Linked DNA regions of Notamacropus eugenii. The protein of the gene in region 1 purifies or fractionates together with the protein of each later gene. This does not show direct contact. Links are inferred from orthologs where the notes say so. Each region holds a gene or a part of one and is shown on either strand. Other genes may lie near its edges.

Region 1 (7,727 bases):
AAAGATAGTAGATTCTTGGGCTAGTTTGGTTGTCCTGGATAATTCTAAAGCAAAGAAAATCCAACCTGCTCAATCATGAACAATAACTAGAGTTGGTCCACTTGTGACTGGCCCCAAGGCAAGAAGATGAAAGGAGTTACTTCCTCTGGAGACCTCAGTCCCCCACACTTCACACCTGGTATCTCTCCACTGACCAGTGCTGAATGGCAGGACCGTAATCACTTTACTGAGCCCACCTCAGAGTCCCCATCGCTGGGGCACATTGCTCTTTTTGGCCCTGATCTTCTCTTTCCAGCTCTCATCTGTGTCCATGTATGTCTCTAGTATGAATTGCCCACAATCCTGAAAAGGCAACACTGATTGTTGAAAAAAAAAAAACTCTTCTGTACTATTCCACCCAAGGGCATGATTGAATAATGACCAGAATAACTAACATTTATATGTTTCTTTAAGGTTTGCAATGCACTTTATAAATATTATCTCATTTGAGCTAAGCTTATTATCACATCTGCAAACACAAGTGAGTAGATGCTATTATTCTCATTTTTCAGATTAAAAAAAAAGAAAACTCTGAGGCAGACAACAGTAAGGTGACTTGTCCAGAGTCACACAACAAGTAATGTCCAAGGCTGAATTTGAACTCAGGTCTTCAGCTTTATCCACCGTGCCACCTAGCTGACCTACCACCAGCTTTGTCTGGCTATCAACTTAAAGATGAGCGATGGAAGAAAGCAGAGGGAGTCAGGCAGCACGGCATAATGGAAAGAACGTTGGATTTGGAATCGGAAGACTTGATATGGTTTAGTGAAAGAACCTGAGATGCAGTCACAGAATTTCAGTATCTCAGAGGTGGACAGGACCTCAGAGGTCATTGAGAGCAACTTTTACTTGAATAAGAACCCCTCGTACCCAAGTGGCTGCCCAGTCTTTGCTTCATCAAGGGAATCAGAGAACCTGTGCTCAAATCCTTGTTCTGCTCCTTATTTGCAAGTTATCTTCCTTCTCTAGGCTTTAATTTTCTCAACTATAAAATGAAAGCTCCAGACTAGATATTCCTTTCTGCTCCTAAATCCTATGAAGAAAAAGCTTGCTCCTCCCCATCCTATACCCATCTAGGCATGAACTTTTCATTCCAGGTTTCTACTATTTTCTAAGTGAGAAAACAGTAAAATCACTGAAATAGCTGACATCTTATCAGATAAACCTTATATATAGAAAGATCTACAAAGGGAGCAATCTACTGAGTGTCTTTCCTGGGGAGATTATGAGATCCCCTAAATGGAACTTTTAGACTCTCCTAAAAGCACTAGTCAAATAGTGAATGTTAAGGGAGTCCAAGGACAGCAATGGATGAAATAGATGTAAATAAGACACCAAAAGAAAGGAAAGTCATGACTAAGTAAAGACAAAATCCTATCACAGTGGTGGTGGTTATTTTTTTTAATCTCCCTTGGGATATAGGAATTCATCAATGTAAAAACTCCCCCCACTAATACAAATCAGGAACTGTCTATGTAGTCACAGAGCTGCCTTAGGCATGGAGAAGTTACATGGATGACTTGTCCAAATTCAAGTGGCTAATAATATGTGCCGCGGCAGAATTTGAACTTGGGTCTTCATGATTACGAAGCTATCATAGACTAGAAGAATGAACTCAAAAGATGAAGGAATGAGGTATGGCGGAACTGCCACATGTAAGGGAAAGAAGCAACACTCAATGAAACCAGGGATTTGTCAGAAGTACCAGTGTAATTAAGCAAGTAGCTGTATTAATAGCAAGAGTACAAGGAATGCCAGGGCTGCTTCCTCTTCCTGACTGAAAAGTCAGGACTTTCAGAAGAGAGAGTGCTTGCCAGCAGAGGACTGCCAAAAGAGGGCAGAGGGAGAAGATCTTCTGACTATGATAGTCTCAAAGAGCCCAGCCCACAAGCCCACTCATTTCCCTAACCCTGACTAACATCAGTTTCCTCAGGTCTCATGACCCTACTTGGGAGACACACAGTCTTGTTCAGAAAAAAAAAACACCAAAGCCCAGGGCTGGCCTAGATTGAGGATTTCTGTACCAGGAGACTGAAGCTAAAATGAGAAACAGCTAAAATTTGCATCTCTGCAGGATCTTGACCTCAGACTCTAGGGGAGCAGAGAGGAAAAGTTCAAAAATACATTTTCACCTCGGGGAGCGGCTCCAGCCCCAGAAGAGGTTAGCCTCTAGGCAGAGGTTAGAGAAAAGAATTTATGTGGCAAGATCATGAGGGAGAATAGCAGAACCTAAGAAAGGAGAGAGAAAAGGTTGCAGGATTTAAATAGCACTAAGTGGGTCTCTTTGGTTTAGGTTTGTGAGAAATATTAAATGATCTAAGCATCTGTTTCAGATTAAAAAACAAAACAAAACGAGATTAAGTGCCATGTCCAAGGTCACATAAAGAGTGGAGTCAGAATTTGCACTCAGGTCCTCTGAATACAAATCCAGAGTTCCAGGCATTGCAACACCGCCCCTAGATAGAACTGGCCATTTGCCCTCTCCTCCTGAATACTCTACCCTTTCTCTGGATCTGGAGAGAAGAGAAACAGAGAAATTTGCCAAAAACTGAAACTCAGGAAGATGTATCTTTTGTCTCAAAGTGAGGGAAGTGAAAGGGGTGAGGGGCAATAGTAAAAGTTGTGGAAAAGGGTTGGTTTTTTTTTTTTTTTAACCCTTTAAGCCCTAGGCTGAGAGAAGTCTAGAGTGAACGAATGGTCCCGCGGGAGGCATGCACAAGTTACCCGAAACGCTTTCCTTGGGCTTTTCAGAGCCCAGCAGGTATCGCTGGTGATGCTCGTGACGCTGGTGATGGGGGTCCGGTCCCCGGGGCTGCAGGAAGGGGATGTCCGTGAGCAGCAAACAGGGGGTCCCACCAGCCGGGGGCTGCTGCGCTGCGAAGCCACAGAAGAAGCCCAGACCTAAGGGCAAGGAGCCCCCGGGTAGAGAGGTCCCCCCAACTCCAGCTCCAGTCCCAGGACCTGGCCCCAGCCCAGTACCAGAGGGGACCTGGCATCCTGAGCCAGCCCCAGGACCACTGGGAGGTTGCAACTCTGCCTCCAAGCCCAGCAAGTCATTGATGGCAAAGCCTTTGGATCGTAAACTGAGAGAAGCCTTCTCATGTCCCGGGCCAATGGGCACCAGCGCCTTGCCCTTGGTTTTGCCATCTGAGCTCGCATCTCGGCCGGTCATGGCTTCGCCCTTCCCTCCCTGGCTTGTCTGTTTGGGGTAGCTTCTGCAGGATCCCGAATACAGATGGAAGAAGAGCGAAGTCGGTCCAGAGCTTTTTATCTGCGTCCTGGGGCCAGTGAAGCAGGGCAGGGGGTGGGGAAGGAGCTTGGCCTCCAATCAGGTCGGGGAAGGGTCCTGTCGCTTTAGGGTCGTCCCGTGCTTTCAATTCCAGAAGATTAATTACTCCCAATTTCCCCACAATCTGATAATACACCTTCCCTTCTCTAGCTCAACTCCCAGCTGCTTCCCCCCTCAGCTCCCAGCTACTACCTCCCCTTCGGAAGTCCCATCCCCCTTTCCCAGGGTCACTTTTTCCTTACTTTCCTCCTCCTTCCCCTTACACGTCCCCCTGCCCAGCTGTCATCTCCTTTCTGGTCCCTTCAATCTGTCCGGGCCAAGCCCGCCCCTCCTCCTACAAACACTGCAGGCTTGGGGGTGGGAAGTGGGGGTGGGGTGGAGTTTCACTTCATTTTACCTCTTCGAAAGAGTAAACCTCAGCTCTACAAACAGTTGAATGTCCACCCCCTCCTCTCCCTGGGACCAATACACCTTGCGTTCTCTTCTGAGACTTCACCTCGAGTTTACAAGGCTTCAGTGCCAAGTCTTTGGTCAGGCTATTCTGATCGAAAACCGTTAACGCCAGATTTACGAGGCTCACTAGCTCTCTCTCCGCCCCCCCTAAAAAATCCCCCAAAATATCCCTAGGTGTTTCCGCCGAGATGTTCATCTGTCTGTCTCCCCGAAGGGAAGGAGGTGGTGGGTGGGTTTCTCTCATTTAGCTCTCTCGCTCCCCAAGCGAAACTGGGTCTTGCTGGTTTGCACAACTCTCCCTTGTCCCCAAGGCTCAAGGCTGAGATTTTTTTTTTTTCTTACTTCAGTTAGCTGGGTCCTTCTCAGTCAATTCTTCCCTAGACCCCAGAAGCTAACGAAAAGGGAAACAGGGTACAATGGGGTTAAACTGAGGGATGGGGAACCTGAGAGTTCCCCGCATCCCAGCTCCTAACACCCTCAGGCTCTCTGGGTTGAAAACCCAACATCTCGCCTTCTTTTGGTTCTTTTTTCGAGAGGGACGCTCTCCATTAGTGCCTGCATTTTCATGGGCCTTTCGAAAACTCCCATGGATAGAGGATTTTGGAGAGAGAAAAATTCGAAAACTTCAAACTTTTTTTAAAAATTCCTACACGTTATCTGCACACGTGCCACTTCATAGGAAAACATGATTTTCAAATAAGCCTAATCATTCTGTCCTCCAGTATTTGCCATAGCCTAATTGGTCTTGGCAAATCTCTCCCCAGTCTAATACAACCTCTCCAAACAGCTGCCAAAATGTTTTCCTAAAGCTTAGTTCTGACCATGTCATCATCCCTTTACTCAATAAACTCCAGTGGCTCCTTATTATCTTTTGACTGGAATAAAAACAAATGCCAATTGAGAATTTAGACCTCTTTACAATCTTTTCCTTCAAACCTTCACAGTCTTCTCCTCTCCTCAACCATACTGCTTAACTTGCCATTTTTCACATAAAGATCTCTCTCCCCCCCTTCCTTCTTTCCTCCCTCCCTTCCTTCTTTCCCACAGCTCTATTTTGTATCTCTCTTTCCCAAACCCTCGAAGCCTTCCCTCCAAAGAACTGAACAGAATATAATGAAATGGAATTTTATGTAAGAAAATGTGGACAAGTTCAAGTTTCTTTCCTCTGTTGACTTCTTAGCTTTCCTCTCACTGACCTACCCACTCTCCCCACCATCCCATCTCCCTAACAGGAGGCACCTAGTAGTTGCACCCACCCTCAGCTCTGCAACAAAAGAAGAGAGGAGAGAATGTGTGGTGTAACCTTATCCATGTCCAAAAGGGACTCCAGTCTTATTCAGTCCATCAGATCCCAGCTCTTGCACCTGGATTGAAATTCCCTGCTTCATCTGTTTATGCAAACGATTTACAAACAGCTTACATCGACTGCTTTAAAGTAGATCTCTCTTTCCCCCACCTCCCTTTTTTTTTTTTGGTACTTTTCTGCTAAACATGCAGATTAAACAAGGGCCTTCTGATAAAGATAATTACAAGAGGACTACGTATTAACTTTACATTATTAAAGAAAGACCCAAATCTCCCTTCGCAAGCTGTTCCTGGGATTAGAAAAACAATAACTTTCATTTGGGATAATTGTAATTTGAATTGCTTGGGTTTAGGATTGGCTTTTGACGATTACGTTTGGCCGGAAAGGGAGGCAGGAATTTCTTTTGAGAAGCTTTACTTTGCTGTATTCAGGTGTAAGAGATGCAGTCAGGTCCCTGCAATCAGCTCTTAGAGGAATGTCAGGAACCTAATTATATGATTTTTCCCACCCAAATTTTGGGTCACTTTCAGCAGCAGATAAACTATGACCAAATCATTATTTAAAACCACGACTCGTCCGATGAGCTATGTGACAGGGCGCTTCAGTTTAAGCAGGAGAGTGTGCATGCTCCCGTGCCAGTTCTGGGTGAAGGGTAAACCTCATCAGGTTTAGGATGGTTTAGATATGGACTTCAAGAAATGCCCCAGAAATATTACCTGCGGAAACAAAACTCACTGCCCGGGCAACGTGGGTTGGGGCATCTCAAGACTCGTAGGTGGGGACATAAAGATTTGGTTTTCCTTCCTTTAGGGCATCTAAATCATCAAAGAGAACAGACAGAGACTGCAGATGTCCAGAAGTATGGGTCCCATTCCCTGGACTTGGAGTCGAATCGCTAGCCAATTCGTTGTTGACTTTAAGCTAGTCACGTCCCTTTCCTGGGCTTCAGTTCCTCCGAGCCTAAAATGAGGACGATGGATTAGGTGCTTTCTGTGGTCCCTTCGAGTTCTCATTGTCTGTGCTTTTGTTTTACGTCGGTTATCACAGATGCAGCTCATCCCAGCCACTCCCTGAGGGGAGGAGGGAAAGAGAGAGACAGACACAGAGAAAGGGACCCAGACACTCAGAGAGAATGAATGAGGATTCTGTATTCATACCATCTTTTCCTATCTTTTCTCACCCACGCTCCCCACCCCTGACGAGGTAGCGCTTCTCCCAGCGGGCTCCCTGATAGCCCGGCAGAGAAAGCCGACCACATTCACTTTTCAAGTTGCGCTGGAGTCCAGTCCCAGTGAGAGGACCGCCCGAGGAGACTTTCACTGTTAAACTAAGAGCAAATCTCTCACAGAAATTGGAAGTGCTAATCCGGCCACCAGCCCCCAACAAATTTCCCATTCGGCCGATGTTAGTGGCTAAAACCCTAATTTTTTGACATCGCCCAGAATCAGCTTAATTTTAGCAGTTTACGCGGAGGCTCAGCTGCCGCCAAGGATGATGAAGCTTTTAACTATGCATATGGTGGAGTCATTTGGAAAGTTTGGGATAAAGCGTTTATAATTGCTCGTAATCAGTTTAGGGAAACATAAAAGCCGAAAACGGGGAGAAAGCCTGCTACAGGGGAATAGGAATAAGAGTTTAAATCCCCCTGTATTCTAAATAGTTGCCTGGGCTACTTCCTGGCCACGTGCGCGGATTGGGGATCCGCGCTGGGCACCCCGAGCAGAGGGAAGACAGGGTGGGGGCTAGTTGATGCCTTCTTCAGAAACTAGGATCACTCCTTCGTTCGAAACACAACACATGCACCTCCACACTCTGAGAGTGCTTGTACACTTTTTATTTGATTTTGTTTTATTTTATTTTGGAATAAATCTGTTAAGGGATATCTTGATCTATGCTCATCAGATAGGATTATATGGGATTAAACTAATCAGTAAATGTTTCTCCGCTCATTATTTTCCCGGGAAGATTTTCAACCCCATTCTCCAACGCCAACGATTATTAATCCCCTAAAGAATATGGCATTTTAAAAATCACTTTTCGCTCTAATTTCTTAGTCCAGGCCCACCCCCGGAGCAGACCTCCGGGAAGAGAATGAACCTTCCCGGTGAGTGTTGCTGAAAGCCAACATTCTAGGCTGGCCATCTACTCCAGAGCAGCAGGCTCCATAGGATCCACAGATGTCCTAAATCAAATCCCATGGTTCCTTACACCTTCTGGGTCCCTCAGTCGCTAAATGCACCGCACTCACTGGGCCTTCAATCATATACAGAATCATAGCTGTTGGGACTCCCAGTGGGAAGTCTCCTAAACCTATATGGGAACAAAACTCCACTCATCAGAGCATCATCGGATTTTCAGGGCCTGAAGAATGTCAGTGAAGCAGTATCTACTATTTTTCAAGGTACCTCATTCTACTGGAGAAGAGTTTTAATGGTTAAGAATTTTTCCTTCCATCAAACCCAAATTTTTCTTTTTGCTCGCTGTTCCTGCTTCTGCCCAAGAGGCCAAATAGAACAAATCGAACCATCTTTCAAATAACTGTGGATCAAATACATTTCACTACTGTCCCTCCAAATCTTTCTGTTTCTGAAACAATGACTTCTTTAAAAAATAAGGGTATAACTTAAGGAATCCCACATA
Region 2 (8,429 bases), about 250 Mb from region 1:
CATAGAGCTGACTGTGTCAGGCATGGAGCTAAGTTCTTTCTTTATTTTTAAAAAATCTCATTAGATTCTCACAACTCTGAAAGGTAGGTGGTATCATCAACCCCATTTTTACAGTTCAGGAAACTGAGGCAAATCTAGCTGAAGTTAAGTGACTTCTCCAAGATCACACAGCTAGTAAGAGTCTGAGGCCTTATTTGAACTCAGATCTTCCTGACTCTATTTACTGTGCCACCACCTGTTTCTGTTTTCTGTAAATGCAACTCCTATTTTTTTCATTATAATTTATTTATTTTTAGTTTTCAACATTCATTTCCACAAGATTTTGAGTTCCAAACTTTCTCCCCATCTCTCCCCTCCCCCACCCACCATGCATTCTGATTACCCCTTCCTCCAATCTGCCCTCCCTTTTATCACACCCCTCCTTTCCCTTTTCCCCATCTTCTCTCTTTTCTTATAGGGCAAGATAGATATCTATACCCCATTACCTGTATTTCTTATTTCTCAGTTGCTGCAAAAACAATTCTCAACATTCATTCTTAAAACTTTCAGTTCCAACTTCCCTCCCTTCCTCCCTCCCCACCTATCCCCACTGAAAAGGCAAGCAATTCAATATGTTATACATGTGCAGTTATGCAAAAGACTTCCATAAAAGTTATGTTAGGCAAAACTAATTATATTTCCCTCCAACCTCTCCTGCCCCCCATTTATTCTATTCTCCTCTTCTGACCCTATCCCTCCTCAAAAGTATTTACTTCTAATTCCTCTCTCCTCCCATTTACCCTCCCTTCTACCCTACTTTCCTGTAGTGTAAGATAGTTTCATAGCAAATTGAGTATGTGTGTTATTCTCTCCTTAAGCCAAATGTGATGGGAATAAGGTTCACTTTTTCCCTCTCACCTCCCCTCTTTCCTTCCACTGATAAAGCTCTACATGTATATAATCCCTCCAACTACCCTACGCAACTCCTATTTTTTAAAGTCATTTAGAAGAACTTTTCAGAGCAGTTTTGCAAATCTCTCTTTACTTTAGTATTACCATTTTGTAAGAAAGGTTATTATCTACCTTAATAAAAACTTCCTTTGCAAAGATAATTCTTGAGCATGGGCTCTGTTTTATGATGTAAACCAAGACTGCCCAGATCAAGTTTCCTATGAGAAAGCTTCAACAAGAAAACTTGCAGAGTAAAAAAGGTAACAGAGTAACAAGATGGTTCAACTGGTTATCAGTTTAGGTGAAAGTTAAGGTTGGTTTGGAGGTTGTTTTTTTGGTGTTCGGTGTCTAAAAAATACATTTTAGCAATGAAAACTTTGAAACTAACTGCACCAGAAAACTGACCCTTAAAGTTCTAGGATCAAAATCAAGATGGCAGTTTCCTGTTTGACCATTATTCTTTATATTTGTAACTGTTTTCCATTTATTGTCTCTGAAGACTTCACAATAGTGTACACTTATTAATTCATTATTTACAACATATTCACAGCAATCAATCTTTTTTTAAAGTAGAGGAGTTCTAGGTGAACCAACTTGGCAAAGGTCACCCAACAAGTCAGTGACAAAGCTAGGAACGGGACCAAGGTTATGTTTTCTTACTTTCCAACTTTAAAAGGAAAAGAAAAATTAAGTGGCTTCTTTTCAATATTTTCCATCACATTCTGACCATAATCGGAAACACTAGCAAAAACATTTCAGATAACTGCTTTAGAAACACACTCAGCATACCCACCACATGACCCTGCAATACTGAAATGAAAATACTGTACTTGTACATAATGTATTTATTTGCAGAAAGTCTGTATTCTTTCTTATTCATTATGTGCGTATTTTAAGGTACTAATAAAAATTAGCATTTCTGCAAATCATATTTGTCTGTTCATAATCTTGCACAGATTACAGAGTCCATTATTTTCTCTCTGCTAATAGTAAATTCAAAGTTCTATTTCAAAAGCTTAACAAGTATATGATAACACAGATGAAGGCTCTAACAAATTTTTTTTTAAAGGGAGAACATGCTTGAAGACGATTGCACGGTCGAAAGAATTACTGTTGCTTGTCATGAAAAGGAGACCACATGAAGCCGCTTTTTAGACCTTCCTGATTTAGGTGTCTTCTCTGACAAGATTAGTTCGAATGCTCTCATGCTGAACCCATATCACCCGTTAAAATAATGGAAAAGTAAGATGCCTCAGTCCCTCACTTTAAAACTTAGCCTATCCACATACTAGAAACAGACAAGAGACAATCTTTCATGATCTTTCCTAGGAAAAGATTCACTCCCAAGCGTTCTATGGCTGGAGACAGCGACAGCTGCCCTGCCCTGAGCGCTCGGAGACACAAAGTGTGAACAGCCGGGCCACCGACGGACTCCTAGGAAGTGCGGCAGCAGGTGGATCGGCCCCCCGCGATCCCCCACCCGCGCCCAGGCGGCTCCTTTCGGACTACGGGCACAAGCCTGCAGCTCCCCAGCGCCGGTCCCACCTCATTACCACCCCTCGTCCCCGTCCTCTCACGGGGGAGCCCCCCAGCTCGCAGTCGGGCTGGGGCAGTCGCCACCCCCGCCCCCTCGCCCCTCAGGCCCGGCTCCATGCTTGTCACCCAACCTGACAGACTCAAGGCGGAGGAGGGTGGGGTGACGAGAGGCAGACACCTGGGGTGGGGGGTGGGGGGGTGGCCTCCCTGGACTGGTCCCCGAGTCAGCCCCCCAGACCCTCCCCCCACGCTACACGCCCCCCTCTATCTCCTCCCTCCCCCCAGTGCAAGCGCTGAGGTGAGAACTCTCAAGTGGAGTTACCGGCCCACTCTGAAGTGAAGCGGCCGCCGCCTCCTCCCCGGGTCGGGTCACGTCACCGGGTCCCGTCCCCTTCCCTGCCGCCCGTGCCGATGTCGCTGCCCCTTTCCCCACCCCCGGTGGGCCCTGGCGCCGCCCGGGTCGGTACCTTGCGGACCCCCTTGTAGATATAGAAGTAGAGCTCCCGGCCCACATTGAAGCAGAGGCGGTCGCCGTTGCCAGACTGGTCGTTAAGGTTGACGAAGGAGACGCGCACGGGGTTGGACCCCTGCGAGTTGAAGGGCACCCGGTTGGGCCGACTGTATTCCGAATGCGGTAGCAGCTTGTAAAGACCTTCTCGGGTGGTGAACTGGGTCTTAATCTCGTTCATCTCCTTCCCTCCTCCCTCCGTCGCCATCTTGGAAAGCAGCGTTCATCCTGCCCCAAGTGCCCGGATCACACCCACTGCGCAGGCGCCGTCCCTAGCTTTCCCAGAGGCCACCCCCCCCTTCTTCCCCCTCCTCTTTCACCCCGCCTTCCTTCTCACCCTTCCACTCCGGTCTCTCCCAACCGAGTGCGGCGGCGACGGGAAGGAGGGAGGGCTTGTTTATAGCGTGTTTGCGCAGGCGCGACCACCTCCCGGGCCCAGCTAGATATCCACTTGCAGTCCGAGGCTCATTCGCGGACTCCGGTCCCCGCGTCTGGGTCCCCGAGAGCCGTTGCGACCGCCGCCGGCTTAGGTGAGGGGCCCAGGGGGGCCGAGTCCTCGGTCGTAGGCCGTCCCAGGGTGTGGGAACCGCCGCTGTCGCCCCAGCGCGAGCCAGGCCGGTGGGGGGTGGGGGAGAAGGGAGGCGGGGTCCCGTGCCGGCGAGGACGGAAGCCGTGAGGGGCCAGGAGAGAGGAAGGCCGCCGGAGCCCTCGGCTGTCCAGGAGGGGAGCGGGAGCCCTTGTGGGCTCCTTGGCGGCCCCCGTCTGGAGAGGCCAGCGCCCTGGATTTGGAGTCGAGAGCCCCGGGATGCAGCTCCCGGACTAGGTAGCACCTGGGTGACCTTGACGACCCGGTCCTGGTCAGTCTGGGTCAGGTGAGACGCTCTCTACGGGGAGACACCTCAGAGACGTCTTGGGCCAAGCCCTTAAAACCCTTCCCCCCTTTGGACCGGCATTGCTCTGATTTTATGGCTGTAAAGAATTCCTGGTGAGGACACTCCCTTACCTGTGTGCGTGTCTGCACCGGTTCTGTCACGTACTAAATAGTCACCTGTGGGTGGCACTGTCAGTGTACAGGGCCTGGCCAGGCTCACACCATGGTAGGGGTCAGAGAGGGACGGAAGCCCAGATCTTGTTTACCTTCTTTATTTCTTGCTTTTCTGTACGCTTGGCATACAGAAGGCGCCTAATAAATGCTTGTTGCTTGCTGATTGCCATTGAACCTCTAAATGTCATTAGCAGAAGTGTTTGATCATTACAGCTGGCATTTATGGCGATCTTTAAGGTTTGCCAAGTGATTTACATATACTACCTCACTGTGTCCTCACAACCCTGGGAGGTGGATGCCATCCTTATCCCGGTTTTACAGATGGGGAAACTGAAACAGACAGAGACTGTGACCTGCTTAAGGTCACACAGCTTTCAAGTGTTTGCACTGAGGTTTTCCTGACTCCAGATCCAGGGCTCTAACCATAGCACCATCTACTTTTCTCAAGCCTTCCTCTAGAACAGGGGGTTTTTGTGGGAAGTCCCCTTGGGCAGCCTGATGACACCCATGGACCCCTCAGAATTTTTTTTAGTACATATAATAAAATACATAAGATAATAAAGGAAATCAGTTGTATTGAAATATACTTATCAAAACAATTTTTTTAAAGAAAAAATGGGTTTGGGTTCCACGGTAAGAATCTCTGGAAAAGAGGAAAATGACTGTCTTGTCATCTCTTGGTCAAATACTTGGAATATGGTGTTTGTGAACCATCATAAGTGTTTGGAAACTATATTTGAGGAAAAGACATTGAAAAGGTGACTCTTATCTTGAAATGGCCAAGTAAAATGGGAAGGGAACCACAAAAATTGTGTCAAGAATTGTGTGGACCAATTAAGAATGTGTAGACTGGAGGCAATTTATTGGCCGTGATAGGTGTCTGTCTTCAGTTACTTAAAGGGAACGAGCTGGCATTTGGAAAATTACTCAGTGCTTTCTTTAAATCACCCCAAACTACTCTCCAAAACAAAAGCCAGTCTTTTTAACATAAATATTATTTTGGCTGTGAGGCATGAAATATCATTCTGAAAAATTAAAGTTGAAGGTCACCTAAAGGTTGACACTCTTGGTAGTCCTAAGTAGGGTAACATATTACTACTGAGAACTGGCATAAATTTTATCAGAGAAATGTATAGCCGTAAAAGGATGCGGATAGGTCACCTAGCAAGAGCAAAGAATCTAAGGGGAAACATACTCAGCTTGCCTCCCAATTTCATTGGTTGAACTGCCTTTGAAGGATTTGGTTGAGAATCATTCAGTTGACAGTTTTGCCTTCTACCTGAAAATTGATTTAACTTATTAACACATTAGAGTAAGATAAAAAAAAAATTAACTGGATGCTCAATTCCTGAAGGCTTTATTTTTATCCTGGGTTAATAAGTATTCATTTGCATTAAATAAACCTCTAAATAAACCTTTGGGTTGTCTAATAGTTCTTCAGCATTAGTAAGGAGAGATACTTTTATTTGTAGAGGAATGTATGTAACTATAACCACTAATGTCAATAAAATGTAAAAAGTGATTTCTATTATAGAGACACCAAAGGGTGAATAGAAAGCAGGCCTTGGAGTCCTAAAGATCTGGGTTCAGCTTTGATATAGGTTGACTTTGTGACCCTAGACAAGTTACTACATGTTTCCATGATATCTCCCCCATTGGATTGTGAGCTCCTTAAGAGCAGGGACTGTCTTTTGCCTTTATTCAAATTTCTAGCACTTCCCACAGTACTTGGCATGTAGTAGGTTTTAAATAAATGCTTGGTAACTTAGACTCAACTTTTCAGTACCCCAGGTAACTAAGCCTATAAGCTGCCAAGCATCTCTAATCAATCAGTAAGCATTTATTAAATGCCTACTCTGCCGGGACTGAGGTAGATACTGGGGATACAAAGACATAAAACAGTCCTTATTCTTTAGGAGCTTACATTCTCAAAAGGGAGATGAGGTATACATATAACACGTAGAAAATAAATACCAGGCAATTGTGAAGAAAAACCACCAGTGACCATGGGAACTAGGAAAGGCCTCTTATGGTGGTATTTGAGCTGATCTATTCGAAGAGGAAGAGGTAAACAGGGAGTGCATTTCAGGAATGCAAGTGTGGAACAGCCTATGCAAAAGTACAGTCAGAAGATGGAATGCTATATTTGGGCAAAAGAGCTCAAAGCAAAGCCAATTTGGCTGGATTATAGAGCATACAGAGCTCCCCTTCATATACATATTAATGTATAATAAGGCTGGAAAGGTAGATTGGAGGCAGGTCGTGAAGTGTTTTAAACACCAGACAGAGCAATTTATTTTTTATCCTAGGGACAGTAGGAAGCCACTGGAGTTTATCAAGCAAGAAAGTACCATAGTCATGCTTTACTTCAGTAATGTCACATTAGTACTTGTGTGAAGGAGCAAGGGGACCAATTTAAAATGGAGTAGTCTTAAGTGAGAGGTGATGAGGCTCTGAACTAGGCTGGTTGAAGAGTGGAAAGATGGAGATGAATGGAAGATGTAGAGATAGGGTTGACAAGACTTGGCCACTCATTGGATATGTGGGGCAAGGAAAAGTGAGGAGGGAGAGATGACTCAGAGGTTGCAAATACTTGTGACTGAAAGTATGGTGGTACATTCAGCAGAAATAGAGAAGTCTGAAAGAGTGGGTTTGGTGCAGGGAGGAGATAATGACATCTATTTTGAATATATTGAATTTGAGAAGCCATTTGAAAAAATATGCAAAAAACCTATTGATGGTGCAAGTCTGTATCTAGAAATCATCTGTGTGCCATAACAGTTGAACCAATGGGAGATGATAAGTTCTCGGAGATTATACATTGAGAAATGAACTAGTCTTGGAATATATCCAGAGTTAAGGGCAGAGGGAATGATGATCCAGCAAAGAATGAAAAGTAATAGTCAGATAAGAGGAAAACCAAGAGAGTAGTGTCACAAAAAAAGAAAAAGTATGTATGAGTAGGAAATACTCAGCATTGTCACTTGTAACAGACAGATCCAGAAGGGTGACAGTTAAGAAAAGGCCATCTGATTTGTCAATTAAGAAACCACTGGTAACTTTAGATGGAGCAGTTTCAGTTGAATAGGTTTTTTTTCCCCAAGAGAGAATGCTATGTACTTATTTTATTTATAAGTAAGATTGATTATAAGTAGTCATTTTAGCATTTGCAGATACAGTCCTTTAGTCATTTAAATTTTTGAAAATTTTGTAGTGTTACTAACATTTTATTTTAGCTAGTTTTCTTAGATTTTGTTACTGAGCAATTATGAAAGATTCAAATAGTGCAGGATGGAAGAAAATGCAGATAGTTGTTGGAAAATATTTATTTTGAAAAGCTAGTTTGAAGCGAAGTGAGCAGAACCAGGAGAACATTATACACAGTAATAGCAATGTTGTAAGCATGATGAACTATAAAATACTTAGCTACTTCGATCAAGACAATTCCAGAGAATCTAAAATGAAAAATATTATTAACCTCCAAAGAGAGAACGATCGAACTCTGAATACAGAATGAAACATACTTTTTTTATACTATTTATTTTTCTTGGCTTTTTTCTGTGTTCTCTTTGGCAACATGGCTAATATGGAAATATGTTTTCCATAATTTCCCATGTATAATCAATATCATGTTGTTTGCCTATAGAAGGTGTTTGTTCCCAGAGTTCCCTATGCTGATGAAATCACGTCAAGATTTTTGAAATCATTAATATATAAATTCATATCTGCATTTCTTTGCAGCTGTGCTTTGGAATTAGTAAATTTCCACAGTGAAGCCAATTGGAAATGAATTCAGGTAGAATTCCCCTGGGAAAAAAAAAATCAGCCTTATGTGATTAGATTCAGTGGACCTTGAAGAGCTTACCTACGTACGGAGAGCATAGTTATAGTTACAGGGAAAATATAAAAGTAAAAAATAAATGACCTTTGCCCTCATGAGGCTTATAATTTAACAAGATGAATATGATGACAATTGTAATAAAAATGGAATATCAGTTCATAGTTGCAGTACAAAGGTAGTGTTATGCTATGAATGCCTTCTCTCCATGATTTTGTGAGCAAATTATTCTAAGGTAAGTGATCTGATTTCTAAAATGCCCAAAGCATAAACATCTTGACATAATCCAAAATAAATAGGTGTCAGTGAAAATTGTAGTAATTGTATTATTTGCACAGTATTTGACCAACATCTTTTGGATACTACAAGAAAAACATGCAGTAAAATCCTATTTTCAAAATCAAGGAATTGGAATAAATGGTCTCTAGAGTTCATTCCAGCTCCAAAATCCAATGGTCCTCTGAATCAGATTCCTCAAGTAGCTGGAATTTTTTATTACTATGTTTTAGTTTTAGGGAAAAAAAGACATGACAACAAAACAAGTAAAGTCTTGGCACTTAGTATTTTAGAGT
Region 3 (7,891 bases), on another chromosome or scaffold:
TCTATAAAAGAGAAACAACTCCCTAGCTTCCCTAAATCCTATTAAAAACAGTAACATCTGAAAAAATAATGACTGAATTTAGTTACATGTTTTTCTTAATCCCATATACACTTTTTTTTAAAATAGCCATTTGATTATTTCTTGTAGCCCTTCTGGTTCTCTTCCTCAAAGGTTATTTCTTAGGACAGTATTGGAATGCTCTCTGGTTTAAATGTTTACCATGCTCTGATCTTTCATTCCTTAAAGATACCATAAAAATAAAAAGAAACCACCACAACTTCTGAGGGGAAAGGAATAAAAAAATTCCAAAACCTATGACCCTAAATTGGATCCATCTATCTTTCAAAGAGTAACTTTTTCCCACCAATATAATCTAGAACCGTAACTATTCCCATTATGATGCTACCTACTGTTATCCTTTTAGACATGCACCAAAAAAAGATCTTTAAAGCTTACGCTGATTATTTCCAATTCTACATATCCAGCCCTAGTATGTCAGCTCAATTTATGTCAGCTACTATATATTTCCATTGATATCACAAAATCAATATATCCAAAATAGAACTCATCTTTCCCTAAAACCCACTCCTTTTTCCAATTTCCAAATTCTGTTGAACAGACTACAATTCTTCTAGTCACTCAGGCTTGTTATCTCTATCACATTCAACAATTCTTCAGTACCACTCATGTCCAATTGGTTGAAAAATCTTTCTACCTCCACAAGATATTGTGGAACAATTTCCTTCTCTCTACTCACACAACTACCACAAGGCTCAGGCTTTTATGACCTTTCCCCAGGACTAACAACCATCTTAATTAGTTTCCCTGCATCTATTCCCTACCCTCTTCTCTCCATCCTCCAAACAACTACCAAACTCACGTTCCTTAAGCAATGGTCTGACCATCATTCCCCAGCCTAAGAAGCTGTGGAGGCATTTAGGAACAAACAGGAATTTCTCAGGTTTTTGAAGTTCTTCACAACCTAATTCCAACCTACCTCTCCAGACTAACTATACATTCCTTTCCTTTAGGTACTCACCAAAATGGTTTACTTTTATTTCTCCATAAAAAGCATAACATCTCCAGTCTCCATGCCCTTTTACATATGCTTAAAATTCCTAGTGTTCTTCGAAGCACAGCTTAAGTGCTTCCTTTATATGTAAGGCCTTTCATGATCTCCCCCAGCCCCAAAAACCAACCACCTCCAAATTATTCTATAAATATGCTATATTTGCTCATACATGTAGATGTTAATTCCCCATAGAAAGTAAGCTCCCTGAGGACATAGGTTGTTTTGTTTGTTTTTGTCTTTGTATCCCTATGGCCTATCCTAGTCCTGGCACACAGGAGGCACTTAATAAATGTTGACTCAAAAGTAAAATGTTTAAATCAAGGTTTTGAACAGACACTGGCACATTTCTGTTGTGAAGAATGAAGTTTTTTTTTTTAAGGTTATCACACAAATATCACGTCCCCCTCAGTCTGACAAAGATACTTTAAACTAAATAAATACAGATGGATTTGGTATATTCCAGTTAATAAGTTAAAAGATTACTGGTGGAGTTTTTAAAAGTAACAACATTCTGAGAGACCAAGCTACCACCTAAACACAGTCGTTGTCTCCTTTTGTTTGGAAAAGGGGAAAGACAGTTCATCGCAAGAATTCTTCAGCAAATTAAAAATAGAAAAGAAGGAAAAAATGTTCAGCAACATATTTAAACAAACCAGCACATCTTTTCAACCCACAACAGTGACAGGTTGGAGGGTCCTTCAAGAGGCATGAAGCAAAAAAAAAAAAAAATCTACCCAATCCTATACATCTTCTCCACAGAGAGCAACAGATTTCCTATCAACATATTTAGTGGACCCTTCTACAGTGACAAAATCTACCTACGTAGACTGTCTTCACAATAGGCAAAATTTCTCTATCAACCTCAGAATCCAAGAAGAACTTCTTAATTCCATCCCTCGCATTGAGAGACTTGTAGTATCTACACACATACATACACGCGCACACACACACGGAAGGGGAAACTTGCAGGCATGCCTTACATTACAGAGGGAAGACCCTCCAGTAACTCACACAAGCTAAGGGGGAAGCCTCCACGGTCTCAATCCTCACACGCACAAGCCTTAAAAATAACACACACTGAGAGGGGAGCCTCCAGTCTCATGCACACACAGGAAAAGGAGAAAGGCTCCAATACCTTGAGCGCCCGCACAAACACACAAACACACACACACACACACACACACACTCTCTCTCTCTCACTCATGCGCGTACACACTGATGAGGGATCTCCTCAATTGCTCTCACGCACGCCGAGGGGAAAGCCTCCAATCGCCGCCGAACTCTCACACACGCACGCAGAACAGACCTCCGATAACGCACTCACGCCCCTCCAAACTCTCACACTCGCACGAAGACTTCCAATTAACTCACACACACACACACGCACGCAAGCACACGCATTAGAGTGGAACCTCCTCAATCGCTCATTCCCACCAGCGGAGGGAATAAAAGTGCACTCGCCCCCCCCCCCCACACACACACACGCATGCACGCCGGAGGTAAAACCTCTAACAGCTTACAAACACACACGTCTCCAAACTCACACACTCGCTAAGGGGGAAGGCCTCCGATTTAACTCAGACACATAAACATACACACATACACACCCGAGGGGGGGAGTAGGTGTTCGGGAGAACCTCTAATTCTTCTCACACTCACATGGTAAAGGGAGAGCCTCCGATACCGCACACACACGCACGCACGCACGCACTCACTCGCGGAGAAGGGCTACTCCACTACCTTATACACTCCCGGGCGCACACGCACACACGCACACACCGGCCGGTCCAGCGAGGCCTCTAATGGCTCCCGCCGCCCCAGTGTCCAAGCCCTCCCCGCCCGCCGGTGCCTCCCCTAACGGCAGCCTGGGCTCCGAGGAGCCCGTAACCCGCCCTCACCCTCCTCCTCCTCCTCCTCCTCCTCTCGCAGCCCGGCCCCAGCCGCCCGTCTCATTCCGGCCCGGGGCCGCCCTAGGCCCCGCCGTGTCCGGGGCGGCCGCGGGCGGGGGAAGGTCAGGGGCTCCCCCGGGACACCCGCTCCCGACGCAGCTCCCACCTACCATGGTACAGATGGAAGCAAATTTGGAGACTGTCATTAGGATTTCCATCCGCCCAGCGCCATCTTCCACCCAATCACAGCGGCGGCGGCGCCGGGCTCCGAGCACCGGGCGCGGGGGAGGAGGAGCAGGGCAGCGGGGCCGCCGCCCTCAGTACCGGCGGCCCGACAGCCCCAGCCCGGCTGGCCGACCAAAGGACCGGCCGAGCGACCCACAGACCGACCCCAACAACCGTCTGAGCCCGGCGCTCCGGCACCCTGGCCAAGGCCCCCGCCCCCGGCTCCGGCTGCGGCTCCTCCCCGGCTCAGGGCGCAGCCGCTGCCTCCGGAGGCCGCTCCAGCCCGCCTAGCACCCCGCCCAGCGCGGCCTGGGGAGCAAGCTCCGCCGGGGCCCTAATGCCCGGCCTGTCCGGGCAACTCCGGCACCACCCACTCGCCGCACCCCGGGGACCGACAACCTGAGCGGCCAGCACCCCCTCTGCCTCCGCCTCCGCCCCGCTGCTAGAGGCCAGCAAGCTCCGCCCCCAGCCGCCAGCCCGCCGAGCCCGAGCGGCCGCACGCGCACGAGGCGCCGCCCTCTCCTCCTCCTTCTCCTTCCCCAGCCATGAGAACCCCGCCCCCAACGTGTAGCGGGGTAGGGCCTGAGGGGGCGGGGAGGCGCCGCCGGCACTTCCCTCCGGGTCCTAGTGCTCTTCCACCATTCTTCCGCCCTCCTTTCCCTTCGGGAATGGATGATCTGAGCCAGGAAGCCAGAGCAGCCGAGCTGGCCCGGACAGCGCGGAAGAGGGGGCTCGGAAGTTGGGTCTTTACCTGATTTATTCGGGCAGTTCAGACCTCTAGGTGGAATGATGCGTCTCCGCTCCCAACACATCCGTGCCCAAGGCTTCGGTTCTTGGGCAGGGAATGGGAAAAGCCCGCCTCCGCAGCTGTGACCCGGTGAGACCCACTCATTTGCAAAGTCTAATCTTTCTCTGAAAACGGCGCACTTGTGTCAAACGCGTCATGGGAACACAGTATTAAAGTTAGATGGCATCTTCCAACATCTCAAAGCCCAATCCCCACATTTTACAGGTGGGGAAACTGAGGCCCAGAAAGGGCAAATGATTTCCCCAAAGTACCCTACCAAAGAAAGACAGAAAAGTAAAGATTCGACATATACATGTTATATTTAGCTCGGTGATGTAAGAGGAAGGGTAAGGAATCTGCAAAAGACAGCCTGCCTGTTGAGTATGAATTTTGATGATGCTTATAAATATACTCTCTAAATATATTTTTCCAGACAACAAGAACTGCAAAGGGAAGAATAGGAAGAGACCCAACAAGGATAATATTACCCAGAGAGACAAAAGGAAGTTGATAAGACTGGCAAGTGGGAGAAAAAAATAGACAAGTTCTGTGAGAAGTACATCAAAGTGTAAACTAGTGGAACTGTTTCCTTCTTTCTATTTTTAAAGTGCATCATTTGAAAATCTGTCATTCATTTCAGGCAGTTCATCATTAATTCTTCTTGTTCCAGGAAATTAAGTTTAATTTCTTAAAATTATCCAGCAAATTCCTGTTTCTTTAAAAAAAAAAAAAAAAAAGTCTTTTATTTTTAAATACTTGCTTACAGAAGTTATTGAGGGTGGGAGGCAAGGCAAGATTCTGCCTGGTTCTCAGTGCCTGAGATTACATTCAACTGAACAATTATCCCTAAAATAACGGGCTGAAGATATTTAAAGTTTGCTAAGAAATCAATTTCCGTATTGACTTCCATTATAACATAGTAGATGAATTCCATTAGAAAAAAAATTGTCCATAGTGTGAATTGTAAATAGTAGGAAATCCATAAATAGTTATTGATTTGATTTATAACCTAACCTGGCTTCCTTTCTCTAGTGTCTTCCCTTAAACCATCTATACACTATTACCAGGTTAGTCTTTCTAATATACAGCCTGGATCACATTATCCTCCTATTCAGTGATTCCTTCAATGCCTATTGAATAAAATAAAAGTTCTTTGGCCTTAACCTTCAAAACCTTCTACTATCTAGCTCCATCCTCCTTTTCCAACCTTAACTCATATTTCATATTCTCTACTCTCAACACACATTTACAAGAACATTTGAGGAAGGAGAAATCAGCGACAATCAAGACAGGAGAGGCTTTCTGTAGTGGCTCATGAGTTGAGTCTGGAGAGAACCCAGGAAATCTAAGAGACAGAAGTGAGGAAATACATCACATAGCTGCAGGGCAGAAGATGCAATGCAAGTGCACTGAATGTCAGGTACTGATAGAACATAGAGTGAATGAAAGGGAATGAAGAAATAAGCCTAGATCTCCTTTCGTTCATTGCAAAAGTGGAATATTATGGGTGAAACGCTGAATATGGTATCAGACTTGATTAATATACTGATTTGTTTTACTGAACTGTTTTTCTCTTTTTTATTCTTTGTTATAATGGATAATTTTCTTGGAAGGAGAGATAGAAGTATATATTGGAAAATGCAGATGATATAAAATCAAAAGATTTTAATAACATTTTAATGGGGAAAAGACATGGAAAAGTAGCTATAAAATTAAAAAGATTTTCACAAACAAAATGAATGCAATTAAAATTAGAAGGTAAACAGTTAGCCACAAAAAAATCCTTGAAGCTAATTTCTCTGCTAAAGGTCTGATACCAAAATATGCAGGAAATTGATACAAACATACAGGAACAAGAACCATTTCCCAGTAGGCAAATGATCAAAGGCTATGCATAGACAGTTTTCAAAAGAAGAAATACACATTAAAGCAACTCTAAGATTCTACCATCAGATTAGCAAAGATGACAAAAAAAAATAGAAAAATGACCATTTTTGGAGGAGATGTGGGAAGATAAGCAGACTAATGCACTGTTGGTAGAGCTCTGAAATGATCCAACTATTCACAAGCAATTTGGAACTGTACCCAAAATGTCACCAACAGAAAGAATGTAGCTAGAGAAGAATGCCCAGGAAAGAATCTTGTAAATGAACCACAGTTAGGTTACAGGACATAAATGATGATCCAGGAGGAGAGACTGAGAAAGAGCAGTAAGGTAGGTAGAAGACAATCAGGATAGAGGTCTCACAAAATCAGTCAAGGAAAAGACATTTATTAGGTTTTGATTACTATGTGCCAGGTTGTGTGCTAAGCGCTGGGAACACAAGTGTAATGGAGGTTTGGCACATGCCCAGACCAATGAAAATTGTGTCACGTATGTGGGAAATTCTTGGGACTTGCTTCTGAGAGACAGAACTAGTGTGTGCCTAAACATTCTGAATTGGCCTACCGTGTAGTTGGGAGTAGCCTTTTTTATTAGCTATATAGTCAGAATTATCCGTGTCACTAAGGACAGTTGTCCTTTTCTAGCATTTGCATCTATGGGTGTATTCATTCATTCGCAGCACATGACACTACGAAGTGAGGAAGCGGGAGGGGGAGAGATGGGAGGCACGCCTGAGGTATGCCTCCCTCTCCTCCATTGGCCATAAAGCCCCAAGAAATGGGCTTGGAGTTTTGGTCTGTTTCATTTGTCCCTTTCACTGCTGAGTGCAGGAAGTGGAGTTCCAGACTCAGAAAATTGAGCTACAGGGATTTTGGAGCCCAGCACACCTGGCCAGATGTTGCAGCCAGTGCACCAATGGTTCAGGACAGACTTGAATTTGGTGGGATTAATGTTAGGTAAGGACTGAGACTTCCTAGAGACTGAGATGGTGTAAGAGGGATTAGGCTCTCAGGTGCTAGGGAAAATGTACTTATGTTTTCTCATACCTTTGAAGTAAATTTTCCTTTGTAAAAGCTAAACTAAGTGGCTCAATGGAACTGGGTACAAGTCATTTGCCCCTAAAATTGGGAAACACAATCGATGGAAGCCCTAGCCAATGCCGAGATGAGTCTAATCTCACCCCTTCAGAGAACCTTGGGTTATGGAGATGGGGCAAGGTAACAGACCTGCCCTTAAAACAGTAGAAGCCAGAGATACATTGTTACAAACCAAAAAACTAAAAACAGTCCCTGCCAGGTAGAAGTTTGAAGGGGGAAGCGGGAGGGATTGCTCCTGTTGCCCAAAAGAGGAATGTAGTGATACATAATAGTTGGAATATTACCAGATGTCAACAAAAATCTCTGCTTGCTTTTCATTGAAAATCAATCACAGGCAAATTTCTGGAGAACAGAAGGGAAAAGGATGAAGGGCCCAAGTTGAGGGGTCAGACTGAGCTAAGAGTAGAATGACCTTTTCCTCTGAGACTAGAACAAAAGAGGATAGAATGAGGAAAGATGGGGAAAAGTTCTGAAGCATATCATCTGTTTTTTCAATAGAGAAGTAGGAGAGTTAGAAGTAGGAGGGACACAGCTACTTATTTAGGTCTGGGACACTTCCGGTTGGGGTTATATTCCACAAACCTGGTGTATCTGTGGTTCTGACCCACAGTTGACCTAACTTCTGGCATTCAGCTTTAAAAAAAAAAAAAGCAATAACCTAAGGGTGGGACTTTAGACCTTCCTTATGTACATTATAGGTCCTACTTCCTTATGGGTCCTGTCTTCTTACCTTGTTTCCAGAATCTATATCATATGAGCATATAAGGTACAAACTAAAAATGTAACTTTATAGCAGTCCTGGAGCCTGGTTCCATGAAGAAATATTCTTATGTTCCTCTCGACCCAGATCAGGATTGGAAATTTTCTCAGAAGTGTGCTTTATCTGTGAGCTCTTAATTTTTGCCAAAAATGAGAGCAAGTGAAGAATAAATGATC

The links.
Region 2: the proteins of VSX1 (region 1) and WDR20 purify together in Homo sapiens (affinity purification with mass spectrometry; 3 studies listed by BioGRID and IntAct, with this or other methods). This does not show direct contact. The link is inferred for Notamacropus eugenii from reciprocal best matches to the Homo sapiens genes VSX1 and WDR20.
Region 3: the proteins of VSX1 (region 1) and USP12 purify together in Homo sapiens (affinity purification with mass spectrometry; 3 studies listed by BioGRID and IntAct, counting the BioPlex papers as one, with this or other methods). This does not show direct contact. The link is inferred for Notamacropus eugenii from reciprocal best matches to the Homo sapiens genes VSX1 and USP12.

Annotation. Positions count from the first base shown.
Region 1 is NC_092872.1:602,072,912-602,080,638, forward strand, and holds the start of VSX1 (visual system homeobox 1), read right to left. Parts: upstream 3,624-7,727; 5' UTR 3,212-3,623; coding exon 2,764-3,211; intron 1-2,763. UniProt on the Homo sapiens protein: Binds to the 37-bp core of the locus control region (LCR) of the red/green visual pigment gene cluster. May regulate the activity of the LCR and the cone opsin genes at earlier stages of development. Dispensable in early retinal development.
Region 2 is NC_092872.1:351,725,929-351,734,357, forward strand, and holds the start of WDR20 (WD repeat-containing protein 20), read right to left. Parts: upstream 3,260-8,429; 5' UTR 3,183-3,259; coding exon 2,934-3,182; intron 1-2,933. UniProt on the Homo sapiens protein: Regulator of deubiquitinating complexes. Activates deubiquitinating activity of complexes containing USP12. Anchors at the base of the ubiquitin-contacting loop of USP12 and remotely modulates the catalytic center of the enzyme.
Region 3 is NC_092876.1:195,091,747-195,099,637, forward strand, and holds the start of USP12 (ubiquitin carboxyl-terminal hydrolase 12), read right to left. Parts: upstream 3,566-7,891; 5' UTR 3,180-3,565; coding exon 3,132-3,179; intron 1-3,131. UniProt on the Homo sapiens protein: Deubiquitinating enzyme that plays various roles in the regulation of the immune response and inflammation.